4 linked regions of the Struthio camelus genome follow. The protein of the gene in region 2 interacts with the protein of the main gene of each other region in a biochemical or structural test. Links are inferred from orthologs where the notes say so. Each region holds a gene or a part of one and is shown on either strand. Other genes may lie near its edges.

The links.
Region 1: the proteins of PDGFRA (region 2) and PDGFC form a complex in vitro, tested with the Homo sapiens proteins (2 studies listed by BioGRID and IntAct, with this or other methods). The link is inferred for Struthio camelus from reciprocal best matches to the Homo sapiens genes PDGFRA and PDGFC.
Region 3: the proteins of PDGFRA (region 2) and PDGFA form a complex in vitro, tested with the Homo sapiens proteins (2 studies listed by BioGRID). The link is inferred for Struthio camelus from reciprocal best matches to the Homo sapiens genes PDGFRA and PDGFA.
Region 4: the proteins of PDGFRA (region 2) and PDGFB form a complex in vitro, tested with the Homo sapiens proteins (3 studies listed by BioGRID). The link is inferred for Struthio camelus from reciprocal best matches to the Homo sapiens genes PDGFRA and PDGFB.

The regions. Positions count from the first base shown.
Region 1 is NC_090945.1:40,445,307-40,452,915, forward strand, and holds the start of PDGFC (platelet-derived growth factor C), read right to left. Parts: upstream 3,014-7,609; 5' UTR 1,958-3,013; coding exon 1,840-1,957; intron 1-1,839. UniProt on the Homo sapiens protein: Growth factor that plays an essential role in the regulation of embryonic development, cell proliferation, cell migration, survival and chemotaxis. Potent mitogen and chemoattractant for cells of mesenchymal origin.
Region 2 is NC_090945.1:56,954,088-56,961,560, forward strand, and holds the start of PDGFRA (platelet-derived growth factor receptor alpha), read right to left. Parts: upstream 3,007-7,473; 5' UTR 2,961-3,006; exon of another isoform or gene 2,843-2,960; 5' UTR 2,814-2,842; exon of another isoform or gene 2,807-2,813; intron 1-2,806. UniProt on the Homo sapiens protein: Tyrosine-protein kinase that acts as a cell-surface receptor for PDGFA, PDGFB and PDGFC and plays an essential role in the regulation of embryonic development, cell proliferation, survival and chemotaxis.
Region 3 is NC_090956.1:7,681,466-7,688,458, reverse strand, and holds the start of PDGFA (platelet-derived growth factor subunit A), read right to left. Parts: upstream 3,008-6,993; 5' UTR 2,058-3,007; coding exon 1,995-2,057; intron 913-1,994; coding exon 816-912; intron 1-815.
Region 4 is NC_090942.1:58,076,334-58,083,761, reverse strand, and holds the start of PDGFB (platelet-derived growth factor subunit B), read right to left. Parts: upstream 3,005-7,428; 5' UTR 2,790-3,004; intron 2,649-2,789; exon of another isoform or gene 2,463-2,648; 5' UTR 2,390-2,462; intron 1-2,389. UniProt on the Homo sapiens protein: Growth factor that plays an essential role in the regulation of embryonic development, cell proliferation, cell migration, survival and chemotaxis. Potent mitogen for cells of mesenchymal origin.

The sequences.
Region 1 (7,609 bases), about 17 Mb from region 2:
GACGCTAATTTTCTCCTGGATTTGCACATTATAAGACATAGTGACTGTATCTTACAGCACGCCAAGCTGCACTGAAAACCAGTTGAAGCTTGACCTAGGGCAGCTGCATTTCTGATGTATGTGAACAGAATGGAGCGTACAGTGTCATTTATACTTACACCAATTTACACCAGTTTTACTTCTGTCCTGTATAGCCCACCCTCTACAGTTGATTGTTGTACTCCCATTGTTAGACCTTGGTGCCCTTTTAAGGCCCAGCTACACTATCACACAACAAACCTCCTATGGCAGATTGACAACATACTAGCTTTCTTTCCAAGACTGACAAAATTCAACACCGGTAATTCTGTGTATGTCAGTATGCTTCACATGTACACCATGCTAATTAAACAGCATGAAGCATAACAGTACAAGTTTCTAGTACGTTAGCACCAGGGCTTTTTTGCCACAATCAGGTGCCCCAAAACCTCTAAATGCCAGATAAACCGGGAAGGGGGAGAAAGGGAGTGATTTCTTTTCTCATACAGAGCAGGTAATTTCCTGCACTGTGCACAAAGTCTGATTGGTTTCCTGTCAGAATAGCTGGGTTTCTGATTCTTTTGATCACCCTCCCTGGGCCCTTCACAGTTGCTCTGATTAGAGATTGATCCCTATACCGCTCTTTGATCAGCGGGTATGGCAGTCTGCAGGTGCCATATATCATCACATTAGAAGCCAGAGCAGTAGTAATCTCTCCTGCTAAATTTCATAGCATATTACATATTCTATTAATTCATAATGCTTTGCAAAAGTCTCTGAGCCTTCGCTTTCTATTAAAAGATATGACATAGGATACTTTTATCAAGGGAGCCCTGAGTTCAAAGTTGAAAGAATTGAACTAGCCTTGAATCCGCATTTTTGCTTTGCTTCATGATAGTGCACAGAACTTGGGGAGCTCTCAGTTTGTCCTTCTGCTTTGGTTTGTGCCCAGGGAGAAATCTCATTCTAGCTGACATGCAAACTACTAAAATATTTTTTCCTTACATTAAGCACCATGGTTTCCATGAATGTACACTAACAGCCCTAACTTTAGATATTTTACACTAAGTGTGGTTTCATGTAGTAGTACATAACGTTTCAGTTTGTAAAATATTCTTTAAAATGACTTCATAATAGCAGATCAAGAGGAAAGGCGCTTAAAAATCTGAATAATGTAAATCATATGGAGTTCAGAGGGTAAGCAAATTACACACCCTGAAGCTGCCCTTGCTGTATGAAAGGAGTCTTTCTCCAACTCTATGCAATCCCAGCCCAAGGGAGCTTGCATTTGAGAGTTTTCTAAACATTTCAGGTACACTTTAAAGTTGAAAGTAATTCTCATTTCCTACGCAGGATTAGCTCGTTTCCAGCCCATACAAAATACCACTCATTCACGCTCAGACACAAAAAACCCTCCCCCCGAGAGCCAAACATTTACGGCACAAAGGTATGCGATTTCCAAAAAGATTTTTTGCACCTCCAGCCACGGGAAGGAGAGTCTCCAAACAGGCTCCGGGGCTCTGTGCTCTCCTCCGGCCAGCTAACCGATGCCCTTTTACCTGTAGGGCTGCACTTAACGGGGCTGACAAGTTCCCCGCAGTGACAAGCGCCCAGCGAGACCACAGCTGCCCAGTCTCATTCATTCCGGTCTCGCCCGGGCCACGAAGCGCCCCGCACCCCGCCCCCGGGCCCGGGCCCGGGCCCCCCGCGCACTGCGCGCAGCGGGAAGCCGCGCTGCCCCGGGGGTGCCCGGCAGCCCCGCGGCCGCAAGCCGGGAGAGGAGGGCGCCCGGGTGCGCGGGCGCGGCGCAGGCCGCCTTACCGTTCTGCTCCTTGGCGCCGGCGAAGGGGAACTTGCTGCTGAGGTCGGACTCCGCGGCGGCGCCGGGCCGCCGGCCGGCCAGGGCAGATGTCAGCAGGAGCAGCGCCAGGAGGAGCATTTGGCCGGCGGGGCGAGGGGCTCAGGCGCACCAGGCACTTGCAGAGCGGCACCGAGGCCCGCGCGTCTCTCACCAGCGCCGGGCGCGGGCTGCGCCGCTGGGGAGAAGGCAGCACTGAGCCCGCTCTGGCAGCAGAGAATTGCAGGGTAGTTTCCACATAATCCCATCCAAAACTTTTTCCTAGAGCCTTTTGCTGCGTCTCCAGGTTTTGTTTTCCTTTGGCTTTTTTTCTTCTCTCTCTCAAGGATCAAAGCAAAACCTGGACCCAGACCAGCTTCCCAAGGACTAAACAATCCGGGGTAGCGCCGGGCGGGGGCCGGAGGGGGCCGAGGCTGGCGAAGGCGCACGGCAGGCAGCGGGGCCGGGAGAGGCGGGGGCGAGCGGGCCGCTGCTGCCGCGGAGGAGCGCGCACCTGTCAGCCGGGCAGCAGCGGCGCGGCCGGGCCGGCCGGCAGGGCGGGCGGGCGGCGACGACGGGAGGGAGGGAGGGAGGGAAGGAGGGAGGCCGCACTGCCGGGGAAATACCTTCTTCGCCCTCTAATCAGCAGCCGCGCTGCCAGCTCGGGCAGCGTCTCGTACCTCCCCGGCGGGGCTCCCCTTCGCTCTCGCCTGCTCCTTCCTCGGGCGTTTCTGCCCTGCCCCTCGGGGCCGGAGGGCGGCGCGGGGCTCCAAGCCGGGGCAGGGCGAGGGCGCCGGGGGTGCTCCGCGCCCCCGCGCTGCCCCGCACCTGGTTTGAGCTTCCTAAGTCACAAGAAGTTTTCGCTTGGGAAGAAATTAGTACAAACGGGCTGGGCAGCCCCTGGCGCCGGCGAGTTTCGCCACGCTCCGCTCCCTCCTCAGACGCCGGTCCTGCCTCCGCAGCCTCTTCCTGCAGACCTCTGGCCCCCTCCCAGCTCTCTCCTGGAGCACCTCTCTCCCAAACTCCCTTTCCCAGGAACCCTCGTCTCTCTCCCTAAACTCCTCCCTTCTATCTTCCCCTGCTTTAAAGCCCTCTCGCCGCGCTCTCCCTTCACCTTCCCCCGGCACGGGCTCACGCCAAGCGCCCTGTCCCAACTCCTGCCCCGCTAGCGCGGGCAGCCCGTCCCGGGGCCGGCAGAGGGAGGGCGAGCCGCGGGGCCGGCAGAGGGAGGGCGAGCCGCGGGGCCGGCCCGGCCCGGCCCGGCCCGGTCCTGCCCTGCCCGCGGAGCCGGCGGCGGCCGTTGGGCGGGCGGCGGCGGCCGTTGGGCCGGCCGGCGCGTGGGGGAGGGCGGGAGTGGGCCGGCAGCGCCCGGTCGCCCCCGCCGCCCCCCGCCCGCCTTGACGGCCGGCCGTGGCAGGTGCTGAAGCACCGATACACGGGGAATCTCCTCCCTGCCCCGGGTTGGAAGCAGAAAGAAAACGGAAATTCTCCGGCCAGTGCCCCCTTGGCCGCTGCGCCGTGAGGTGGTGCCGCCGTGGCCCCGCGGCCGTGCCTGAGCCCTGCCGAAAATGCCTCTGTAGCGAGAAGGACCTTTTGACCTTGAGAGCTTATGATACCCTATTTTCAGCTGCCTCAGTAACAGCACACATTAGCCACCCGTACTGACCGCTTCCAAAATTGCGCCGGGGCAAAAACTCGGGAGTTGTGCGCCGCCGGGCTTGCGGCAGGCCTGGACCCCTGGCCTAGCTTGGCAGCTTGCGGCGGGCCTTGGGGCAGCCTGTCAAACGCCAGCAGCAGCGGCCCGCGGGCCTGGCGGCCCTGGCCTTGGCGGCCTTGGCCCCCGGCTCTGGCCCTGGCCCTGCAGGCGGGTGCCCACAAGCCACCCCTGGTTCCTGGCCGGGGCACGAGCGTCTGGGTGAGGGATTGAGGTCACTGCGGTCCAGGCCAATTTCTGGGTTTAGTAATTAGGATGAGTCGTTATGCTGACTTACCGGTATTTGTTTACTGGGCTAATACTATGTTTTTATGGTAGTTGGGTTTGTACTTGAAAATTTAATGCATAGTTAAACATTTCATAGGAAGCATTTCCTTGATGGTTGGAAACGAAATATGAAGAGAACGTTAAAAAGACTCTGGGTACAGATTATTTTTCTTCTGACAGAATTTGCTGTTTCAGCTACCTTGAAATGACACCTTTAAGTATTTACATAAATAGATGGAAATGCTACCTTCTTTTATTCAACTTTTTACAGCTGTCTCTCTTTTTTTGATGAAATGCTGTGTAGCACTCAGTGAAGTGTTATCCATAAAGCAGACACTCTCTAGAATGGCTTTTTTTCCTGTTTCTCCAGCAGCCTGAACGGGAATTATTGAGGAGTATCCTCCCATTAACTTTAGTGAGGCCTAAAAGGACTGATGATATGAGCATCCATTAAGATAAAGTCGTGTTCCAACTTCTTCGTTACAGCTGACAAACTTTCTAACTTGTTTAGAGTAGGGTTCAAACCCATGGCAATGTGACGGGTCTGGGTAACAAGACTGAGTGCTAACTAAATACAGGGAGTGCAAGGGAAGTGACAGGAAGGCTTCAGCCTTTCCTCTCATCTGGGAAATTTTTAAATAGTGACTCCAGCCCCCATAGTTCTGAGGTGGTTTGGGGGACACATGGGAAGATCCATACCACAGAGGTCTCACTCGCCACCTGTGTAAGATATGCAAGAGAAGAACGGAGTCTGCACTACTGGAATTTGTACGTTCTGTACAGATTTCTTATCCCTTGACCCAGCTCTTCATATTATATAACTAAGCTATTTCTTCTCCTCAGCTACAGGGTAACAATGATAACACTGATAAGCATCCCCTCTGTTCTCAATAAGTGACATATTCTAGTTGGAGATGAAAGCTGTCTGTCCAAACTGAACAGTGTTTTGAAAGGTAGAGTTGGAGCATACTGTGAATGGCAACCCTTCCCTTACACAGTCTGAAGAAAGCAAGCTACTGGACTAAGCAGACTATGTATTTATTATTTTTATTATTGTTATTTATTATTTGTTGATTTCATCTTTGTTATTTAAAAATGGTAAGAAAATTAAAATGTACTACTCTCAGATCTTTTACCTTGAGGATTACAAGCTGTGTTTTTTGTAATCAAATAAATGAAATATTGCACTGTATCTTAACTTCCATTGCTTGAGGATTTTTTAGAGGGTTCTTTGTATTTTAGGAAATGGATGACGAGTTTGCTCTGAAAACAGGGACCTTATACGATGTCTCAAACTGTGTACATGAAAGCTAAATCATCCAACATCTTCTATAGCTTTGAAAATCTAGGCTGCATCAGAGTAGTGTTTCCTATGGCATCCCGGCTCTGACATTTCAAAGGAAAATGCAAGAAACCCCATAGTGGATGAATATGGAATAACACTATCTGGAGAGGGAGCTTTTATTCTTAACCTTCAGTAATTAAAGATCAGGGTATATTTTTGATCATAAGACTCTACATCCCTTTCAAAAATGCTTTTGTTGTTAATCCCAAACAAAATATTGTGTGTGTTAATCGCTACCCTTATAAACATCCAATCTTCTCTGAAATTCATGCTGAGCATTTATTACCAGATATCTATGCTTATTTTTGATTTTTGTTTTACTCTCCAGTTTCATCAAGTATATTTATGTGCTTGAATTATGAGAATAGGTAAATATAAACAACTTAACTTCTTCACTCTATTTATTTTCTGTATTATAACCCTATCATATCCTTTCCAAACTATGCATATTTACTATGCTTTTCATCTGAATATCTCTGTACCTCTAAGCATTTCAGAGTCCCCTATATTTCTGCTATACTTTATTTGGGGCAGGACAACCAGAACACAATATTCCAGGTGAAGGCTGGGATTCTTATATATAGTTAAATTATTATATATTCTTTTATATATATATATAGTTATACAAGTTTTTTATATATATAGAATATAGTTATATTCTTAAATATAGTTAAAACAGAATATTTATTTTTCATTGTGTATGACAATTCTTATGCATACTTTTTATCTTTTTATTGCCACTGCTCCTGCAATGATCCACAGTAATACTGACATTTAAAAAATATTCTGAATGGCTAGACAATTATGTCAAAGCAGTGTATGTATAGTCCAGATCATTCTTGCCAGTGCACATTACCCTGCATTGCCAATACTGAATTAACATGGGACCACAATGCCAATGCATGTGAGTTCTAGCAACTCCAGTGTCCAGATTTCTCCAGATTTTTTAAAGCTATCTGGGTCATTCATGTTTTGATAATTCAGTGTTCACTTTCTTTTCTGCATCCATAATAAGTGTTTTAAACTACACATAGCCTTCTATTCCTAACTTCTCTCCATGCTGAGAACTGCACTTAAGTCTTCTTTATCTTTCATCCCCTGGTCAGTTGCCATCACATATCTCTTCCCACAACCACCTAGCTTACATTATGTAGTCTTTCTGATGGTGTATCAGGAACGTTTTTACTTCTTTGAATTTTCAAGGTGTTTTTAATATAGTCTATTCAATTGTGTGTCAAGTATTTTTTTAATTTGAATATTGCAACAGGCATTTCTCCATTAATTGTCATCTTCAAATAGTTCGAGAGACATAATTTGCTCTACAGAGTAGCAACACTGATTTGTCCCTGTCAAATTGTTTTATAATGCTGTTTTTTCATTATCATTTAGAATTCTTCTAAGTGATTTTTGTTTACTAGAATAAAATTCTAATTATCTAGGTTGGATTGCCCCACAGGATTTGTTTTGCTCCAGTTCCAGAAATAATGTTACTGAAACTAAGTGCCCAGAGAAGGCAATGGAAATTTATCCTTTTCGGACTCTAGTGTCTCATTGTGATGGTGTGTAGTCTTTTTATCACAGAACTATAAAAATTATTGAAATAAAAAGGTTTCCTCTCTGATTATTATTAACTTAATGAATTACTGAAGTGAATTGGAGTTGGAGAGATGCATATTCTGTCCTTTACGAGTTGAACTGACACCAAGAGATTCACCTGGCTTCCATGGGTTTTAGATATTCCAAGCAAGTTCTGTAAGGAAGCATGCTATTTTTTACTCTTTATGCTGTGCTCAGAAAGACTCCCCCCACTCCCCCGACCATGAGATAAGCATTTCTCTTCTGGGGAGGAATAGAGGGAAGACTACAATATTGGGGAGGAAAACAGAAAAAGGCTAAGACATAAACCCCTTTTTATGCATGAGATGCAGCCAAAGGGAAGTGCTTCAGGAAATGTGTAACTCCACAAACACAATTAGTTCTATCAAATTCAGGTCTCACAAGAGCTGGAGTTAGGCATTTACATAATTGTTTGCAGGATTAAGACCCAGTGTTAGGAACAGAAGATTGATCCTCTTGTCTCCCCAGTCCTTGTCTCACTTCCTATCACGAATGAAAAAAAATCAATTGATAGATACGCCTGTATATTCTTTGTGAAATCATACCAAAGAAAAACAAGCATTTTGCAAAGTTTAGCGTGTAATTTAAAATTAATAAACATCTGATCATCCAGATGCACAGGCAAATGTCTGCTTTTGTGCTAGGTTCTCTGGATTTCAGTGTAGTTACATATGAACTGACTGCTGGCATAGCAGGGTTGAGGTTTAAATGTTTATGTTCACATTATGGAATTATTTTTAATTGTGCAAAAAAGTCTTAAACTAAGTTATTAAATACTGTTTTTGTACAAAATCTTTTATGGATGTGTGAT
Region 2 (7,473 bases):
GCCATTGCGGCCATGATGAACAAAGGATACAAGCAAGGCAAGACTTGTATAAAATAATCCATTTTATGTTCCATTTTACACCAGGTGATGTAGTTGGCAATTACCAACAAGGTCTGTAGCATGCAAGTCTTCTTTGGCCTATATAAATGACACCCAAATCCTAGCTTGATACTGTAGTATTGTGGAGAGGCATTTTATTCAAATATTTATTACTTCCCGCTTTCTTGAAACCTAATACATGTATATTACTCTCAACAATCTTCCATATATCGAGCAGCAAATAACAAGAAAGGTGGCCCCAGTGCCCAATCACTGCCAGTGTGGCACACCTTCTCCCCCTTGATGTCTACAGAGCACTACCAGAACAAGGAGTCTCGTTTTAAGCGACGAGTGACTGCCTGCAAGCTGGGAGAGCTGTTTTACTTGCGGACTCCTAAATCCCAGTGCTTTGTATGACCTCATTTTTCTTTAAACTTTTTTTCAAGCTCTGAGAGGAAGGTTAACTAAACCACTGTTTAGCAGAGGGCCTTTCTAAAACGCCCATTGTTTACTGGAAGCTAAAAGTGAAGTCCCTTGCTGGGAGATCTTCCTCTCACTTCTAGACCCATAATTAAAAGCCGGATCTGTACAATTCACATTTTGCTCCAGCCGCTGACAGAGGAACCTTTGATGCTTGTCCCCTCGTTTTGCCAGATCCTGTCTCTTGCCCCGTCCAGGGACGCCAAGTCGACACATGAAGGCGGGAGCCCAGCTGGGCTCTATCAGCCCTGGACGGGACCTCCCTGGATGCCTCGGGGTGCCTGAAGGTGCCCCCAGCCCTGCTTGGCAGCACAGGGGAACCAGGGGAAAGGTGGCAAGAGGGGAGCAAGGCTGGCCCAGAACAGCGGGTCCCGCTGCTCCAGCACTCCTGCCTCACAGCCGAGGACACCCAGGCTATCAGCCTGCTCAGTTTGGGAGCGGGTGCATTCACGCTCTCCAGCCCCCACCGTGGGGTGTCGATGCTTGCCAGCCCCAGTCTGGCTCGCAGAGAGCCAGAAGCCCCGAGGGAGCGGGAGAAGTGCCACTTCCCGGGGCCTCCTGGTGCCCACGGCTCCTCGGCTGAGCCAGGCTCTGACTGCTTACACCGTGGGTGACTAAAGGCTGCCTGGGACACCCAGCAAACCTAGCAGAGATGGCAGCTCCCAGCCCACCACTGTTTGTCTAGGAAACAATAGGAAAGCCTTTGCCAAGCTGGAGCAAATTTTTTCACATGAGGTAGCCAGGAAAAAGAAAAGGGCGACAGGGATAAGGGGGGAAGGGGAGAGCAAACATGCGTTTCCCTCCAGAGCTGATTAAATATGGTTGGCACTCTGATTTGAGGTGAGCTCCGGGCTTCTTTTCTCAGCTCTCTCCATCAGGCAAGACACGGACCTTCCTGCACCCTCTCGGAGGACTGCACACACTTGCCCGTGGGGTCCAGGGGCAGCCAGGAATCGCCAGGGGCACCGTGTCCGTCAGGCCTGACCCAGCCTGCGGTGATGCCGGTCCATGCCGGCTGGTGGAGTCCGGGTGCCAGCGGTGTGCCAGGAGGCTGCAGGATTTGCAAGAGATGCACCAAAAAGGCCGTCAAGGGGCACGGGAAGCATGCGCAGGGCTCAGGGGGTGGCCAAGGCACTCCCGCGGTCCTCCGGGATGTGGGCAAGCCGCAGGGGCTGGCTGCTGCAGCTCGGGGGCTGCTGCTGCTGCCTCGCGAAATCTGTCGCTGCTCGCTCCAGAAAAAGCTGTCCAAGTCCTGTTCTCTGGAACGGCTCCTGGGCTGCTGAATCGCCATCCAAAAATGTTGAGCAATGCTGTGGACAGCCAAAAAGCCATTTCCTACTTGCTCCTAGGGCTTTCCAGGGGACTCCAGCCTGGCAGAAGCTGGCAAATTTGCAACCTCCGCGCTTGACAAAATCCAGACGGTGGCCGTGAAGACTCTGCCCTCCCCTGGGTTGCAAGGCGGTGGGCTTCGGGAGTCTGGTAGGGAGGAGCGGGGCTGGGTTCCCGTTGTAAGCGGGGCTGTAAGCTGGAAAGCCTCCAGGTACCAGTCGGGCTGCCTGAATTCAGCATCTTCCCTTCCGCCGAGACGTGTAAAAAAGACGGGGCGCGCCAGGATGGAGATGGGCTTGCCTGGATGGGGGGTGTTTGTGTGTCCCCTCCTCGGGGTCTCAGGCTCTTTAGACTACCCGGTCGGAGGGACTTAGGCAGGGAAGGGGGTTCTAAAGAGGGGAAGGTGGTGAAAAACAAAGGGTGGGGGAAGGGACCGGAGAGCAGCGGGGGCGAAGGAAGCAAGGGCAGAGGTGGGGATTAAACGGGTTGCGAGAAGAGAGAGAGCGGCTGGCCACGACCCTACCTCGCTTTGTCGGTGCTTGTGGCCCCGTCCCCGCCGGGGCGGGCACCGCAGCAGCCCGCGGAGCCCGTCGGGGCGCTACGGCCCCCGCGGCAGGAGCGCGGCGCGGTGGCCCCCGCCGCCCCAATGTGTTTGTCATTAGCGCCGCCCGCGCTGCTCGCCGCCCGCGCCCCGACGGCCGCGCAGCGCCGGCTCCCCGCGCCCCGCGCAGCGCCGTGGGCCCCAGCGCCCGCCGCCGCCGCCTGCGCCCCGCGGGAAGGCGTCCGCCGCCCGGTCCAGCCGCACCGGGGCTCCGCCGACAGAGCATTAAAAAAGCCCACATAAATACACATAAATTACGGGGGTGGGGTGGGTGGGGGGGAGAGGAACATAAAACAACGACAACAGCAACAAAGAGGGAGAAAAGATGAAAAAAAAAGTGGGAAAATCCTCCCTCACCTCGTACCTTCTCCTTTGTAATCCGCAGTTACAATCCTGCAGATTGTAAAATATCCAAAATATGTCCACGTCTTTTGTGACTTTCCCCGCTCCGCCGCGCTCTTTCCCTCCCGCTCGCCCTCCCTCCAGATCCGACTGTAATGGGCTCACAAACCGCGTCCCGTAATTGATTCAATGTTATAGTCCATCCTTCCAAAACTAATCATTTGCTTTAAGTAAATAGCTGTCAGGAAATTAAGCCCCCTCCGGCCCCTTCAGAATAAGAGCCGCGCTGGCGCGCTCGGCGCCCCCAGCCCCGCGGCCGGAGGCGGGCGTGCCGGCGGCGGGCTCTTACGCAGGCAGGGGGGCCAGTCTCAGCCTCCAGATTTCACCAGCCTTGCAGAGGAGGGGGGAGGTTAGCCATATGGCAGGGGCGAGGGGGAGGAAAGGGGGAATCGGAGAGTTTTGCACTGCAGGGGGAAAAAAAAAAAGTTTCATGAAAACTCAGAGTGTTCCCAATGTCATGAATGAGCCTTCCTCCTCAGACCCTCTAGGAAGGTGGGTCGGGCGCCGGGCTCGGTGTCCGCGGTCACAGTGTGAGTTTATGGATGAGGAGTTTGATCGGGAAACGAATGTGCAGCTTCCTCATGTCCTTTGTACACTACTGAGCATGGGCTTGGTAGAGAGAGCTGCATGGACGGCTGGGTGGCAGCCAGAAGCAGGAAGCACTGAGAGAGGGAGAGAGACGAATCTCTAATATTTATGAATGAAAGACACAACGAAAGGTAACCTTCACAAGGAGCCAGCCACACCAAACCGTGGCGCTTTGGCGGGATCGGGAAAGCTCTTCTACTCTTCTCTTCCTTTGGTTTGCTCCACGCAAACAAAACCCAGTAATAACCAAGCCACGGGGCACTGCCGAGGGCTGGAGGTGCCTGTGGAGGCGAGGGCTGCGCACGTTTGAGTGGGTCCTGTTTGAATACGCTCTGGGCAGAGCTTTGATCCCCGCTGGGGAGAGTCGGGTATCTCTTCTTTGTTGGCTCTTGCTATTTGCTGCCGATAAGAGGTAGCCGTGGGAGTTCACAGGGAGCTGCTCTTGCCTTTTTCTGGAGAGTCCGTGCGAAAAGCGGCGCGGCGCCGGTGCTGGCGGCGGGGCGATGCGGCGGCCGCGGGCGAGGGGGCAGTGCAGCCCCAGGAACGGAGCGCGCCGCGCCGCCGCCGCCGCCGCCGCCGCCGCCGCCGCCGCCGCCGCCGCCGCCCGGGGAGCCGCACCGACGCCGGAGCTGCGCCCCGCGCTCCCTCCTGCTTCCCCCCCATCCCGCGGCTCGCCCACCCTCCCTCCTGCGCCTGCTTTTCTATTTATTTATTTTTCTTCCGTTTAGCGTTGCACAAAAGAAAAGTTTGTTCTCAAAGTCAAGCAGCAGGATCCAGTGCTTTTTTTCTCCTTCCTAACAGAAGGAGAATTAAGCCTCTGAAGCGCAGATTCCCTGAAGGGAATGGGGGCAGAAACGAGAACCAACTCCTGTGAAAAGCATGTTCAAGCTGAGGTCCCAGTGGCTGGGTTTGCAGGGTCCCCAGTGGTGCTCACAGCCTTTTGCGTGCTCTCCACTAGTGCATCCTCAGCCTGGTGAGTGCACAACCCCGCTATTGCTTCCACATGTTCCTCCAGGAAATCATCGGAGTCAGATCTGTGAGCAGCCCCTTGTTCGGAATGCTAACAGGATACCGTAATGCTTGTGAATAAACAACAGGCTCCAAGCGAGCAAAAAAGCAAGGCAAAAAGTCACTGCACCTTGGAATTATCTACCTCGGGGTGCAAGCAAACACAGCAGCCTCGACCCCGGTAATTTGTGGAGGCTGGAGGAGAAAAACCCTATCATTAATTTGATCAGGGCTCTGGGTTCGCGCAGATTTAAGCGCCACGAAGATTTAAAGTTCAAATCGGTTACAACAACTCCCTGTGAGCGCTGAGGACATTCTGCACGGTCGTGCTTCGTTTGGTTGTGATTTATCGGCGTAAGTGTATCTGGTTTAAGGTGCAAAGCGATGAAGGTGATTCTTGGCGAAGTACCGTCAGGATCAGAAGTAATGGGAGAGGAACTCTTGCAGAAAGAAAGGAGGAAAAGGAAGGGGAGAACGCGCCTTCTGGTTGCAATTACCTGCCTCATTTGAATAATGCTTTTGTCATGATCATTATCGAGCATTCGTTAACGGCTTCCATGTGGCATCTCACAGGACCGAGCAAAAAATACAAAACTGCAAATTCGGGACTGGTAAAGCTGCCTGCTAGGCCAGCCTGGCGCTGCGGGCGGGGAGCCCGCCGGCTCCCGCAGGGACAGGGGACGGGGCAGGCGGTGTCCCCGTCCCCCAGCCCCTCCTGGGCCGGCGAGGACGGCTCCGGGGGCAGCGCTGACGCTTCCCCCGACGTGGCTCCCCGGCCCCGCGCCCGCCCCCCCGAGGAAGGAGGAGGGCGAGGAGTCCCCCGCCGCGGCCGGCAGACCCCGCAAGGCGCAGGGGAGCCGGGGGACGGGCTGGCGGCAGGGCGAGAGGCTGTGCCCCGGGCAAGGCGGGCACTGGGTTTCTCCCAGTGGAGCGGCAGCGGGAGGGACCCTCGAGCCCTCCCCGGCCCCCGGGGGCCTCGCCGGGCTTGGCCCGCAGGCAGCCCCCGACCGTGGCGTCGGGCGAGGGGCCGCGGAGCCGCCTGCAAGGGCAGGTCGGCCGCAGCAGGAAAGCAGCTGGGCCGCTCCCCCCCCGAAGTGCTGGCGGTGCCTATGGATTGGTCCCGAGCAGGGGAGGTGGTATTTCAAATAAACGCGTTTAGGACGACTCCGGAGCTAGCTCCCCCCGCCCCGTGTGGCCCAGGGGGGTCCCGTCCAGGGAGGCGCGGGGGACTTGGGGTTACTGAAAGGACAGGCTGGGGGTGGGGGATTTTCACCACTGCTACCCCCAAGTCTGTCTCCTCTCCTCTCCTCCCCCCATAGGGGGCTGGAGCGTAAGGCATCCTGCTAGCGTGTGTTTATGTGGCAACAGATGGAAGCTGCACGTCTTAAACAAAACTGGCGTCCGGGCTAGAGCCGCTCTCGCCTGTTTGCGCTCCCAACGTGCCCTCCGGGGTGGGCGCGGGCCGGCGGGGCAGCTCCTTCCCCCAGGCCCAAGCGCCTGCAGGGGTCCGGCCCGAGGGCAACGACGGGGCCGAGGAAAGCTGCGTTTTCCCCCTTTTTCCAGGGCGGTTCTTTGCCGTCTCGGACTTTTCCAGAGGGGCTGGGAGCCTGCGAGAGGCCTTGCTCAGCCCCTCAGGAGGAGTCCCAATTTGCTGCGAATAATGAGCCCCTTCCTGAAGCTCTCTCCCAAGGGTGAGCTGGGTTGAGTTTAACTAGCTGCAGGCTATTAGGCAGGCTAATAGGGGGTTAATTTGGACCCCAAGCGGCCGCGGGAGCGGCTACCTCCTTCTGCAGCGCGCGGAGTGCGGTGCTGCCGTCCCGGCCGGCGGGGTGCCCCGGGCCCTGCAAAAAAGCCCCGTCGTGGGGACTCAGCCTTTGTGGTGGTGGGAAGGAAAGTCTGGTTTTGATTATTGTTACCCATGTTCAAGCCTTCGCAGCGTTCACTTTGATGCGCGGTGCTGAAACCGCCTGCCAGCCCCGGCCGCCCGCACCCCGCCGGGGCCGCCCGCCTTGCACCGGGCCGGGCCTCGGCCCTTCCCGGGGCTCGCTCGGCTCTTCCCGCCTGCCTTCTCTAAGGTCCGTGAACGCAGGGCTGCTAATCTGGACCCGTAAAACGCTGAGCTTCCCTTATGGTGTATATACATTGAATAGCCCTATGCTGGCCAGGCTGTATTTGCATGGGTCATCCACGGGCTGGTCACCTTTTTCACTTTTTTTTTTAATGTCTTCCTCCCCCTCTCCCCCAAAAAAGTTTAGTAGTGTTTTCTTCTTTAGCAGAGGGCAAAGACTCTCCTGCCTGCTGATTCCTGCAAGCTCCGGGGAACGAGCGGCTCCCGGATGCGCAGGGAGGCGGGGGGGCCACCGCGGCAGGGGGCATGGAGACCCCCCGGCGGCCCGCCTGTTCCCCCAACACCAACACAAACCAAAACAAGCAGCCCCCTGCGTTTTCAAGAGTGGCTCCAATCTGGAGCAGAAACTCATCAAACCCCGAGAGAGGGAGAAAGCTGCGCGGCCTCTTCTCGCTTGTCACTATAAATCTGTGCACACGTCTATCGGCGAGGGAGGAGAGCACAGCAGCGAGGGTTTCCTGTGGCAGGAGGGGAGCGAGCGCGGGGAGGGCCGAGCCGAGCCAGCTCCGGGCCGGCAGCCCCCGCGGACCTGCGCGCGTTCACAGGCCCCCCCCGGGCTTGCTCTTGCTCTCTTTCCGCAGCAGCAGCTCCGCTCATTCTGTTTGCTCAACAGAATTTGGCGCTGAATAGCAGGGATCTCGTGTCACCGGGAGAGAAGTGAGCCAGACAAAAGAAATTAACGGCTAGCCCCGCGTTTCCCAGCCTCCCCTCCCCTACCTTTATTTTGATTCACCACACGGTTGTTTAAGGTAGTTCCTTGCGCCGGCCGTTTTCCCACTAAGGCCGCCGATGCCGCAACTTCGAGCCGCAACTTTTGCTTTCATTGCTGCATTTGGCTCTTGACATTAAAAGATGCCAAAACAGCCGTGGAAGCCTTATTCTCTGCAAACAGGCTTTG
Region 3 (6,993 bases), on a different chromosome or scaffold from region 2:
TGAAGGTGACTGAACCTGGCACAGACTTTACAAAAATACACAGCATATGGTTCAAAAGGAGATGGCCCGGTACCAACGCAAGCAAGAATTCATTCATTTTTCTCCATGTTTGTTCTTCAGAAAGATGCAGGTTTCCCCTGGGCACATCAAAGGTGCCGGGTTTATTCTCTCTCAACTAAGAGAAGAAATTGCCAAGAACAAAGTGCATCAAGTGAAACCAAACGATAAGAAACCCAGCTATACAGTGCTCCTGGATCTGATTTACTGCTGCAACGATTTGTTTGAACTGCACGTTCTCACTACACCCATTTGCATGCCTAATGATGCAGAAAATAACCCTGCGCTATTTTCTTTTGGAAAAAGTGTATTTTTAAGGGTAAGCTTCATAGGCAGGTTCCTGTTTAAAATCAGTATGGACGGGTTTATTTTCCTTTTAATAAAGCCCAGCTCTTGAAGAGACATTACTTCATTCATAAATATTGTTTCAAATATTTTAAATGCCTCTAGGACAGTAGTTTAAAGATAACAGAGCAATGCAAGGGCAACAACTACACCCTATGGAAATTCTTCCCCGCTGAGAAACGCCGCGGTCTGAAAACGCCGAGGGTGGCCGGGTGGCCGGCTGCCCCTCCACCCTCAACGCCCCCAACTCTGAACGCCCCATCGGCCCCTTGGCCGCCGCCTCCCCGGCAAATAAAGCCCCGGGGCCGGGGGCCGAGGCCGGGGGCCGGCGCGGGGCGCAGCCGCCCGCGGAGCCTCCCCGCGGGGCGGCGGCGGCCGACGGCGCGGAAGGAAGGAGGACGGGACTAATTTACCTACGGAGTCAATCTCCAGGAGGCGCTGCAAGTCGCGGATGCTGTGGATCTCGCTGTGCGCCAGCCGCTCGATGAGCTCCTGCGGGATCTCGGCCTCCTTCAAAGACACACACGCACCGCGGGTCACCGCGCAGCCCTCCGCGTCTGGTGCTTCGGGGCTGGGATTTGGGGTGCTCGCAGGGGGTAGGGACGAGGCACGGGCAACCCCCTCCCCCCCGAAACCCCCGCCGGCTGCTGGAGCGCGCCCCGCTGCGCGCCCGCTGAGCTGCGCCACGGCCCGCGCGGCCCCGACCCGGCGCGGAGTTTGCGCCCCGTTGCCGCCGCCCTCTCCCCGCCGCCCCCCGCCGGCTGCAACCCCCCCCCCCCACACACACACACCCCGGGCTCCCAGGGCTGAAGTTTGCCCGAGCGGCCGAAAGTTCAGCGCGGGCTCCGCGAGCGCGGAGCGCCGGGGCCCCGCCGGCCCGCGAGCTCCCACCCTGCGCAGCCGCCGCCCCCGGGAAAGTTACGGCCGCCGGCAGCGCCGAGCACCCCCCCCTTCCCCGACCCCAGCGCGGCCACCTGTAGCAACCCCGGCAAGCGGCTCCGCGCCCCCGGGCGGCCCCCGGGCGGCGGGTTCGAGCCCGACCCTCGCCCACTCTGACCCGGCTCGTCTGCAAAGCCGCGGAGGGGCGTTTCGGGCTGTATTAAGCCAACTTCGCCCCGGGGCGCCCGCGGGAGCCGCGGCCCTCGCCAACGGTGCCCGGCGGCGTGCAGCGCCGTGCGCCGCGGGGCGGCCCTGCCCGGCGGCTCCGCGCTGCGCTCTGTTTGCAAGTAATCGCAGCCCCTTTGCACCGGGGTGGGGGGGAGAGGCGTGAATATAACATATATATTTCTATATATTTTTATATATATACACACACATGTATATTTTTTAAGCGCGCCTGCAGCCTGCAGCCCCGCAGCGGAATGCACGGTCATTGCCCTTCGCCTCCGGCATGCATGAAATGGCAACTCGCTATTTTGCCGCGGCCGCGCAGGGGCTGGGGCAGGGCGAGCGCCGCCGGCCAGGCCAGGCGCGGAGATGCCGCGGCCGCCGGGCGGGCAGCCCGCTCCCCGGTGCCTCCGCCGCCGGCTCGCCCCAGCGCCGGCTGCGGCGCCTCCCGGGCCCCGCGACCGCGACAAGCCGCTCTCACCTACCTCGCAGAAGGTAAAGGACAGGTAGCCAAAACCTATCAGCAAAACGCAAGCCCAGGTCCTCATCGCGGTCTAATGCACTTTAGACACGGAGGGAAGGCAACGCTGATGGAGAGGAGCTGCAGGCCGGCTCCTGCCGCGCAGAAATTCAGTACCATCCCTCAGGGGCGAGACAGCGGGGTGGCTCGGGGCTGCTCCGCATCCGCGGTGGCCGGGGCTGCCTCGGGGCGGCGGTGGTTTAATCGCGGCGCTGCCGGTGTTTGTATGTTCCCCTCGCTACGGGAGCGTGGCTGCGCTCGTGTCTGCTGCTCTCGCTCGCTCCTCTTGGCTCTTAGGACTAGACCAGCCGGTACTTCTGCATATTTGCTTAGATCAGACCAAAGTGAAACCCAAGGAGTCGATCCGGAGCGCAGCCGAAACGCCCATCACCTGTCTGGGGCGGCTCGCCCCCCGGCGGGCGGCGCTGGGGCCCGCCTCCCCCCGCCGCGCCGCGGCCTCCCGCTCGGGATTAGGACGGATGGATTTCTCTTATTTGCCGGATTTTCTCCCACCCCGCTAGGCTGCCCTCCACCCTCTGCCCCTTTTGCAAAAAGGGGAAAATAAAAATTAAAAAAAAAAAAAAGCAAAAGATCTTTATTGATACGGATCGAAATGTTTCTCTTGCTGAGAATGGTCCCTCTTCCCTCCCCGGCTTGGGGGTGAGGTTAAAAATAATAATTAATTATAGATAATAGCAGTGATAAATCGGAGCAATATTGCAAGATCTCGCTGGCTGCCTCGGTGCAGTTCCCTTCTCCACTTTGCACGGGAGAAAAGCGAGGAAGAGGAGGAGGAGGAAGGAAAAAAAAAGAATATATATATATATATATATATATATATATATATATATATATATATATATATATATATATATATGCAAGAAGGTTTAAATCCCAAGGGGATCGGAGACGAACTGCAACTCCTGGCGGAGGGAGCCTTGCCGGGCGGGCTGCGAAGCGCTGGCCTGTGTGCAGCGTGGCTGCTCGGCGGAGCAGCATATAGCGCGGCCGCGCCGCTTGCGCCTCCCCCGGCCCTCCCCCGGCCCTCCCGGCCCCAGCCCCCCGAGCAGCGCGCCGCGGGGGTGCCGCCAGCTGCAGCCCTGCTCCGCCGCCAGAGGGGCTCTGCCCGCCCGCGCGGGGGGCGGAATTAATAATAATAATAATAATAATAATAATAATAATAATAATAATAATAATAGGAAGAAAGCGCGGAGCCGGGGCAGGGCTAGGGGCCGAGGGCAGCGGGGCAGCCCCCGCCGCCCCGGCCCTCTGCGGCACTGGGGCGGCGGCGCGGCCAAGGGCTGGAGGCGCTGCGCCGCGGCCGCCCTGCGCCCCGCCGGCATCCACCTTGTGCCCTGCCTCTGCGGTGAGGCGGAAAGAGCTCGCCCTGATCGAGGAGGGGTCCTGGGTTTTTTTTTTTTTTGGGGGGGTGGGGGCCGAGGGCTCTCGCCTTTTGCAAAACGGGAGGGACAAACTGGCGCTGGGGTGGGGTTTTTTTTTTTTCTTTAATTTTCCTTCTCTGTTGCAGTTCAGCCTGCATTGCACGGGATAACCCACCCCCCCCAAACACACACACCCCCTCAAAAATAAAATAAAATAAAATAAAAATTAAGCAGCGCGGGGTGGCCGTGAGCGGCAGGCGCCCTCCGCCCTGCGGCACCTGGCTGCGGCATGCGCGGGCGCGGGGCTCCCCGCCGCGGCCGCGGAGGCGCGGCGCCCCGGCCGCCCCTGCCCGCAGCCGCCCGCGGCCGCCGGGGGCAGCGCGCCCTCCCGCCGCCGCCTCCCTCCCCGCCGGCCCGCCGAGAAAATGCCCCTTCTCGCCGGCGCGCATTGGCACAAGGTGCCTGCTGCACCCTGACATCTCCCTGAACTCATTGTGATTTAAATAACAGCCCTTTCTCAGCTAAACAAAGCATCTTAATAGCAGATGCAAAGAATTCAGCTCGTCTGAAAATCCAATAGCATTTAAGTGGATTAACTGCAATAACACAACTGAGGAGTGATACTATCCTTCACGGAAGACAATAGACTGTAAATGCACAGCCAGGGAGACTTATCCTTTCATCTCTGAATTTCCTTCAGCATTTCAAAAGCGAATGCTTTCTAGAAGCCCTGAAGGGGTTTGCACGCTACTGGCTTGGACATGCTTCTAGGAAACAACCTGTGCTTTAATGGGCACTTTGCAATTGCATAGAAGTTCCCACCAAAACAGAAGTGGCCTTTCAAGTACGTGTAATTCTCTCTCATGATGTCATGTAGACTTACAGGGTGGTCTCCAGGACCACAAGGGGGGGAAAAAAGGTGGGGGTTGAAAAGGGAGAAAAGGAAAAGAAATGTAAAAGATTTGGAAGCACTTTAAAAAGGGGAATGCCTTTCTTTCCTCCCCCCCCCCCAAACAGAAAACGCTGAGCCAGTGTGGAGCCATTCCCAAATGCCTTCTGATAAAAAAAGGAAAAAAAAAGAGAAGGGAAGAAGGTTCGAGTGCCACATTGCAGCAGACCCGTCCTCGCCGGCTGCTCTCAGGCCAGCAGGGTAAGCTGGAGGCAGACCAGAGCTGGGCACTTTGGTTGTTGCCATCACTTTCTTACATAGCGGTTGACATCACAGAAGCAAAAAGTGATGACTTCAGTTTAAAAACTTCTGATCTGCACTTATCATTTGCTGGGGTTAAAGAAACAACTCCTATGGTCCGCGTTGTCATAGTAATAAAAATAATAATTACCAAACAGTGAAATAGATTCTGACAGTACCGATCTCACTGAGCATTTACTCCTCTCTTTCCTTCGTTCATTGGCTAATGTGTATCTGGCATCAGCATTGCTGGGTGTTTGTGTGTAGCTCTTTCAAGTGATGTTCCTCTACTAAAGCCAACATGGAGAGAACTTCTAATTTATCTATTGTTAAGAAGTCTTTGCAGTTTTGATTTTTCTTGCATTTCCCTCATTTTTATGAGAAACATACTGCATCAGCATCTTTTTTAAATCTGTCATTGTTGAGCTCAGATAAGCATCTTTACCCTGGGTCAAGTTACACTTGGAGTAGCTTTTAACATTAGACTGTTTATATGGATCATTGCAAATATTTGATAATAATGTAAAATATGTAAGATCCCAGAAGAGACCCAAGACCAGAGAACGTGAATAAAATTCACACACAGATTCTGAAAACAGCTTTATACTTGGGTTGTCTCTCTCCTTATGAAACAAATTTTTCTCCTTGGGTGTTGTGTGATATAAGAATGCATTTGCTCTAAGTTGTGAGAGTTTTTATAAAGCATGCAAAACCATTTCTGTATGAAAAACGGTGTACAAGAGCAATGGGGAATGCAGTTTATGTCTGCACGGCACCCTTCCTGCAGCCTGCAGGTCTGTTAGCCCTGTGCGTACCATACGTGTCCCATACAGCCACACACGTGGAAAGAGTGACAGGGTGGTATTTATAGGTTTAAAAGAAAATCAGGACAGATAACAGAGCATCAGAAAATTATCTTTTGCCCCTTTTTTTATGTATTTGACCGGAGCAAGCAAGATGTTACTGGTCTAATTTAAAGGTGCTGCACATACTGTTAGAAGTCCCTCAAACGTTAGGAATTAGCCTAGCATCAGACCGTTACAGACGGTGGAGAGGGAGGACCTCAGGCTCGGTGCAGCACTTGGCGAGGAGGGGGAACGTGCTGAAGCTCCTTCATACAGACACAAAATGAAACTACTTCAGTGGCACGAGCGGTTTCTGCAAGCGGTGACGCATAAACCCAGGGTGCCCCTAAATGACGTTTCCAGCCCCATTTACACCTCGCGTTTAAAGCAGCGCAGGCTCAGGTGTCAGAAACGCGGCTAGGTCAAGCTGCCTGGTGGGACCACCTCCTGTTTCAGAGCAGCTTCGCGGGCTGCGGGCGGGTGCCAGCCGCCTCGCAGGAAGGGTGCGTGGGCTGGGGGGGGGCCACCGAGCCGTGGCGGGAGGGCGTGCTCTCCAGGACTTTTCCTCATTGGTAATCACATTAAAATGAATAAGAACAGAATGAGTTTTGGCTAGTTTTTTTTGGGGGGGAGGGACACCTCCTTTTATGATAGTGGGCTGTTTGGGGCTATCCAAAGCGATTAAGTGCATCCTGCTAGATACGTCCTGTCACGGCAGCTGAAAATGCACCAAGAGCAGGGAGGGTCCTGGCTCCAGCAACGGACCGTAAGAAATGTTCTCAGAGGTTCAGACCCCGCATCACTGAGCATCAGTGCTGAACGATATAATGCCAGGATAAAAGTTCAGGAAGTCAAACCCAGAAAGGTACACAGGAAGCTGTGTACCACTTTGGGTGGTTTCTCTCTGTTCCCGAATGTTCATTTCTTTGGCTTGTAGTTTCAGAGGGACGCGTGCCAATGGTGAGGGTAGGTCATCTTCCTTCTTGCTTGACTGGCACCTGCCTTGGGAAACGGGTACAAAGATGTCCCCGGTGGGAGTGAAGCGTACAAACGCGAAACGGTCTTACAGCAGGAAAAACAGGCTCTTGCCTGAAACTTGGCCCAGGAAGAGCAACAAGGCAAGATGCAAGGAGAACAAGCAAGACAGTTGTTATTCCAGCTGTTATACCTACAAATATTATTTCCTCCTTTTCCAGCTCTTCCTTTTGGATCCTTTCATCGGCTCCGTCCCTCTGGCGGAGCTCTGTTTGCTTTGAAACTTTCTTTGGTGCAGCTTTCCAGATGCTTTCATGGTTGATAATTTTCAAATAATCACAAGATGCAAATCTGCTACGAGGTTTCAGTTAAGCGGAGGGATCAGAAAAGGCTCCGTAAAGCTACACAGTGCTGCAGAAAGTGAATACACAAGGTAGCTGTGTCCTGTTTGGCCTGCGTGGGTCAATAACTCCAAGCCATGATAGTTCTGGAGACGGTTTGCTCTGCTGGGAACGGAACAGGTCCCATGGGAGCCTTCAGTGGCAGGTGAGACCCAACTCTGCCCGTAGCAGT
Region 4 (7,428 bases), on a different chromosome or scaffold from region 2:
CCCCACTTGGAAAGAGAGCAAAATAATATTTAAGCCACTCAGGCTTCAGTGGCTTTTCCTTATTCTTTCTGTTTTTAAGACGGGGACAGATTTTTCTCTAGTGAGGTATTTCAATCCAGGCTGTGCCAGTCTCACTCCACTGAGTTCACTGGCATTGAGTTCAATAGAATTGCACTCACTTAAAATTACTGAGCCCTGAGCCAGTCGGGAGCTCCTTTTATTCTCTTGCTTTTGTGAAATTAGCTTGTTATTTATCCCATGAATTCCCAGCTTTAATGGGGACAACTCTATCTTCCCTTCACATGCCCCGTGGGGTGGGTGCGGAGCCCCCCTTCTGAAAGCTGCTGTGGTATCAGTGCCATAGATGTCACAGGACAAGAGTTGGAGATATGTGCTGCCGTTGCATTATGCTGGGGGAGATATTTCAAGGCTATGTGAGGTGGCTTGATCATAAAAATGGTCTGCTAGAGCATCACAACTTGACAAGGTCTGGTGGCAACTGTGTGACAGCTGACAATAGCCCCTCAGGCAAACTGCGGCAAAACCCAGCAATTTCATAAGAGCCTGTAGCAGCATTTCTTATTAAAACACTTTCACCATCACCATAGCTTTCTAACCTGTGAACAGCTGAACTCATCTCCTCAGTTATGTCCTTATTACTAGAGAGCGGGCAACACGTGTCCCAGCACAATACACAATTCCTTGCTGCGAGACCTCTCCCCTCATCTTAAATGCTGGTGGAGAAAATGATCTACTAGCAACCATCCACAGAGGCACAATGTCAGGGGTGATACCTTTTCCTTTCTTTTTTATTTTTTGGAGAATTGTGAAACAGCAGGAATTAAAACAGGGCTTACAATGGAAAGCAAGACTCGGTCTGAACAGCAGAGATGTCTCAGCCTCTCCATGATGAATCCTCGTTTGAAAAACAATCAATGGAAAGAAATTAGGAGGTGTTGAAAGCCAAGTTGCAGTCAGCCCACCCACTCAAGGTATCTAACTTAGGTGGTGCGACTACTCTGGTGCCTAAGTTCAGGAGAACGATGAGCAATCCCTACGCCCACTCTGTGGGGCTGCCACAACTGTCAATGGAGGGGAGCAGTCGTCATGCTGACGTTAAGCACCCGGAGTAAGTTTGATGCTTAGTCTACACCAGGAGGCCCTTTCTGCGAGTGTATCTGTTTTACACCACGGGGGCCTGTTTACGTCAGGTTTATCCCAACCAAAGCGATCAGAACTGAGTAAACGTACGTAGCTTATGCCCACATTTGCACCATATGGCCCAATGACTTCCACGGGAGTCGCACCGACTTCCTGACAACTCAGTTTAGTCTAAAGGAGAAAGAAAGGAGGAACAGGGAAGAGAACGAAGGAAGGAGACAGACAGGCAGGGAGCATTGGGTTTACATGTGGTGCTGGAGAAAGGCAGAGTTTCAGGCATCCAGGGCGTGCAAAATTCACTGTCTTGCCCCTGGAGCTGCCAGGGTAAATGGTTTCTAGAGATGAGTAAATCATCACGGAGGAATTGACTCCAGAGGGGGGAAAAGGGGAAGGTGTCACCTGGCAAGCAGCTACTGGATGTGACCTGCCAGGCCACCCCTGGGAGTTTTCCCACCACCTGTCTCTCCCCGGTGGAGGGATACTCCCTGCCCTTCACCACGTCTTTCATTTCATCCATGCCTGGCAGAAATTTGGCAAAGATGAGAGGGTGAGGAAGACACACAGACACATCCAAAGGGCAGAGCAGGGACCTCAGTGACAGGAGAGAGGGAAAGGGCTTGTGCAGGGCATGGCTGTTGCCCCACGCTTTGGGAGGAAGGAGAAGGCAAAGTCACTTTGCATCTCCGTGGATGTGCGAATTGTGCAGAATTCAAAGAGCGAAGGCAAAGCTGGGGGGACTGATATATCAGGGCTTTCCTGTACGCATGCACGTTCCTGTGCCGGGGAGGGGAGGTGGCAATGCAGCCTTCCCTGCTCACGCTACCGTATATTCTCCCCCCCCTCCCTCCCCCCAGTTTAGAGTAGAAGGGAACAATTTCCGTATTCTGGCAACCACCCATTATATCTATGGATCTGCTCCCCACTCCATTCCCCCGTCTTTCCTGTTTTGATGAAAGGAAAAAATGTTCTGCTTTCCTTCTTTATTTTTCCAGACTGGTGAATAGCACTGGAAAGGAATTTGTCTCCCTCCCCCCTTCCCCTCTCCCGGTATAATAAATATATATGTATGTGTGTGCGGGTGAATACACCACACGTCAGAGGTCATCTATTGTTTTTGAATAGGGCTATACTATTTTTGTTTCCAAATTGAGTGGGTGGGGAGCATTCCCCCTCTCAAGCAACACCACGCCAAACACCGCTTCCCGCGCCCTCAGCCCCTGCCACTCACCGTATCCCCATCCTTCGCCCCGGGTCTGCAGCAAGCGGTGGCAGCAGCAGCGTCAAGAAGGAAGCGTGCTGAGCTAGAGTAAAAATAGCCCCGGCAGTTACTCAGCTCAGAACGTAACATGACTCATGATATGAAATGAAGATGAGGGTCGAAAACCAAAAGCGAGCGGCTCTTCTTCCCCCCACCTGCTAGCGTTGCTCACGTCGCAGAGCAAAACCCGTCCTCAGCGGTGCTGGCTGGGGGTCAGGGCGCAGGCCCAGCCGGAGGCGGAAAGCCCCCTTCTCCCTGGCGCGCTCACTGCGCGTCCCCCCCCCGAGGTCTGGCCCTCCCTCCTGCGCCGGTTTGGTTGTGCCGACACCGGGGGGAAGGTGAATTTGGGCACGCTGCGCCCGAGCCTCACCTCCTGAAAGCCGCAGGCTCAGAGCAAAACCGTGATGCGGTGGGAAGAAATACCCTTCGGCACCCTTGTGCCAGGGTAGCCACCAGCTGGCCTGGCTTGGTTGGCAGCAGCGCAAACACGGACCAAGATCCCGGTTTCTCCGCAGCCTGCGTGCCTGGAGCCGGCGCAGGGATGAGGAGCGGGTGGACACCCGCCGCCCACCCGCTCCCCGGGCAGGGTGCTCCCCGCACAGTGCTGGGGACACCCTGCTCCCTGGGTGCGTGGGCAGCACTTCTGATACGGCGGGAGGCCGGCTGTCGCTATCTGCCGGCGTGTGTAATAAAGGAGGGAGTTTAAAAATAGACTTTGAGCTGCAATGCCGGAAAGACAGCGAGACGTATAGAGCCGGTGTGTATTTAACCTACACGCCCTGTGTCTGACGCCCCGCTCGCATGGGCACCGGCCCCAAAGCAAAGGCCCCGCTCGCCAATCACTGGCGCAGCCCTCGAGGTGGTCCCTAGCACCCCTTTTATCGCGGATGGCAATGGGCTAGCTCCAAGCTTTGCTTTGTGGGTCCCAGGGCTGCCCCTCCTGAGATGCGCACCAAGCAGTGCAGCCCAGGCTGGACATCCACCCCTCGCACGCGCCTGACCACCCTAACGTGCCACTCCTCCACCCCCGTAAACCCAGACAAAGTGGCATCTCTCAGGACAAAGCCTTTCAATAGATCCCCTGCCCTCTGCCCTCTCCTGAACAATGAGAAATCAAGGAATATTGTCCGAGCTGAATAAAAAGGATCTAAATATAGCCTCTGATGTGTTCTTGGTTTCCTGCTCATGACTCCCCTCTCCTTCCCTGCCTCCCTCTTCTTTGCTCGCTAGCCTTGTGCACAGAAAGGTTTCTGGTGGGGTCACATCGCCAGCACGACCCTGTCTCCCCAGCGATGAGGCATGGGGAATTCCAAGGAGTTTGACTCCAGCTTCTATTTTCATAACAGAGGGATGGCGAGAGCACACGGTTTTTGCCTCGCTGGCTTATGTATGCACGGATGAGAGAGAAACTTGAGGTCAAGGGAGAGGGACCTTTCTCTCTCACTTCTGTCTCTTCGTGTCCTGGCCCTGCCATGCCCTGAAAGCTGTCCACGCGTTTCAGCCTGCTCGCAGCACCCTCAGCTGTTCCCACCCTCGGCTCCAGACGCAGCTCTGCCTAGAAAAATGCCTTTCTGCTTTGCAACCAGCCCCTGCAACTGCTCTCTGTCTGTAGGACCCTCACATACGACGCTGCCTTCCCACTCCCCCGGAGCAGGTCAGGCAAGAAGAAAGCAACTCAGAAAGAGCAAATAGAGGCAGACCCCCCCAGCCCAGCCCAGCCCAGCCCAGCTGAAAAAAAGCAGCGTGACCCGGGGTGGGGGGTGTTAGCCAGCAATGCGCTCCTGATGTTTAAACAAGGGACTCCCTTGGGTTTGTGGCTGATAAGGCTGGGTGTCAGGGGAATCTTTTCATTTGTTTTCCTCTTTAAACAAAAAGGCCTTCCCATAACCACAGTGAGGAGGGAGCCAACACCTCTTGACAAACAGACTTGTCTTACGTGCACACGCAGAAAACCTTTCTACCTTGTTCCTGGAGGGGAAAAAAACCTCGATTGTGAGTATTGGCAATACCACTCAGTGTCAGTGGAAAGGGGGGTGTGGGCCAGCAGTATTTTACGCAAGGCGACGGATACTCAGAGCTAACTGGAGCTTACCAACACGGCCATGGAGTGTCTGGGGGTGCAGAGGTCCCTTCTGATAGTGGGATCCAGATAGACAGGCCAGGAGTCTTCCTCAAAAGCAAGGAAAACTTCTCCAGCCCTCCTCCTGCTTTGAGCAGTGTTTCCCAAGACCCGTCTCCGACCTTCCCTGGGTTCGTGGCTGCGTTGGCGAGCAGGTGGAGCAGGGCTTTGAAGCCAGCCAGACCCTCCCACGCTTCGCTCTCTTTCCCTGGCTGCGAAATCTGGCAGTGGGGAAATTGTGAGTCTCTTTTCTTTATTTCTCTTTTGCCAAGAAAGTGGGGGCAGGCTCTTTGGAATGATGCTTTCACGTGCCAAGGACAGCACGCCAAGCGTGACAGCCACTGATGGGACAGGAGGGGGGAAGGAGCATCTCGGGATGCTCAGGAGAAGCAGAGGAGGCAGAAAGCAGTAGCAGCCACGGCCAATATCACGTGAGCAGGTGGAGAAGTTGTGTGGGGCTGGGGTGCTGGGAACGGCCCCCTTCCCCTGCCTCTCGGCCAACGCAAACAGCACATGGGTCTCAAGACATGAAAGGGAGAACAAGGAGCAGCTTGCTGGCAGATAGCGAGTTTAATGCCCATTCCCAGCTAGGAACAACTGGCAACGCCAGAGACTGGAGAATGGAAAAGTTCAGGTCTGTTTCACACGCAGCTGCTGCCAGAAAGCATCAGGCTAATGGATGCAGCAGGGTGGGGAGGGAAAAATCAGCATCCAGGCCACTGGAGATGAAGCCTCCTACCATGGACTGGGTGGCCGCCATTGCCAGGAAACAGTAAGAGCAGGGCTGCTCCACAGGAGAGGACACACCAGGAGCCAAGGGTGACCCCAGCCCAGGCAGTGACCCCACTGATCCCCTAGTCCCTGAGCAGGGGCAGAGATAGAGGGTACCCACAATATAGGTCTGGAGTCCAGCTAGGAAGACCAGTCGGTAAGTCAGGAGAGCAGGAGACAGGAGCAGGCACAGGTGTGCCTGCAGCATAGCTCAGGTTAGATGGAGCTCCTGGGCCATGAGCAGAGGATGCGTGAGTGCAAGTCCCAGGTGAGGCTGGTTGGACAGTTAGAGCCCATTAATGCAGTCAGCATCCTGACAACCATCAGGGTATATTCCCACACCTCACAGGGGTCTGAGCTTGAAGGCCTACTCCTTGTGAAGTGCCCTGGCTGCTACTGGTTGGGTGATGCCCACCTGGGGCAAGGACATGGAGCTGGGGCAGGATGGTGGCATCATAGCCAGGGCAAGTCACTGTGCAGGCATGGGGCACGGGGCCTGGGAGCTGGGTTGGGATCATGCTGTAACCCACAATATAGCTCAGGCCAGAAGCAAGTGCCTGGCCTGAGCTGAAATGGAGTCCCCAGGCCCATGGGCAGAGGGTCCCAGGGGTGGCTGGCCAGGGCCATTATGGCCCCTTATTGCACTCAGGGCCCTGACAACCATTAGCCACCCCGGAACAGGACATTCCCTGCCCTTCAGGGTGTAGGGCCCATAAATCTGTCCCTGGTGAGGCTCACCATCTGGGCAGGATACTGATTACCTAAGCCAGCCAGAGGGAAAAGTGGCTTGAAAGCCAAGACACACCTGAGCAACACGTAGTCAAGCTGAACTATCCTTGCCTGGCCTCATCCTTCCTTCACTCTCTCTCCCTTTCCCTCTGGAATGACAGTGCAACAAACTGCCTCCATCTCTGCAAACTATGCCAAGAAACTTTTATTTTTAAATTCACAAACAATGACCTAGCAGCTGCTCAAGGCTTTTTTTTTTCTTTTGGTAACATAGTGGAAATTATATATATATTTAATTAGCTCATCAGAGCTAAATTTCCCTTCCCACCATTCTTCACTAAAGGCAGATGCAAAATGACCCCCGACTCTGATCTCTATTGAAGGGGGTGTGACCCCTCTCCATCAAACAGAAGTTTCCAGAAAGCCAGTTTCTCCCATCCTGCCTCTTTGCTTTGTCTGATTGTTGGTAGATGGAGCCAAGAGTTTAAAATGCCATTTCAGCTGGCTCTCCATTATCTTGGGCAGAGAGAGGGCTGAGATACCTCTAAGAGTGGAAAAACTCCGATAAAGGAGGAGAACGTGGTATAGATATAGCCTCACATCTCTGCCAGGCCCTAGGATCCAGCCTGGCCGGGGCTACTAACCTAGTCTGGGTCCAAAATGACTCCATATACAACCTCATGGGACTCTTTGCACCGCAGCCCAGAGCAGGGTCGGCTCACCCAGCCCTGAAGGAGTCCCACTGTGTTAGTCAATCCTGTTGCCCGCTGTGGTGGCTGGAGCCGGGCTGGACCTGGGAGAAATGCAGCCATGGCCTGGCATCCACAGCACAAAACCCTCCTCCAGGTGGTCTGACCCCAGTGTCCCCAGAGGTGACTTGTTCTGTTGAGTCCAGTCTGGCCCTCTACTACCAAATGAAAATACAGCTGCTGGCCCCACTGAAAGCAATGGACAATCACTCTCAAAATATACTTTATGTGTGCAAATCATATGCTTCATATATATAATATGCACACACACACACATACACACACATATATATGTCTATATATACTTAATATATATTTACATCAACTGTTTCATGATCTGTTTAAAAAAAACCCACCTTTTTTTCCTCAAAATACTAGCCCTCTCAAGTTCTGTCCGGACTTGAAGCCCAGCCCAACTAGTGGATCTTTACCTTTTGCATCCAAAGATTAGAGCTTCCCTATGCACTGGCTAAAAGCCCCCAAGGGCAACTCTCCCGAGCTCACCCAGGGCAAATGTGGCCCATGAACTTCCTGCAGCTTTGCACTTCCCTGATGGGGGCTGCACGGACCACAGGGGCTGCTCGTCCTGTTGCAGGTGCTGCAAACACTAGCAGAGAACCGTCATCACTGCATTAGGATTT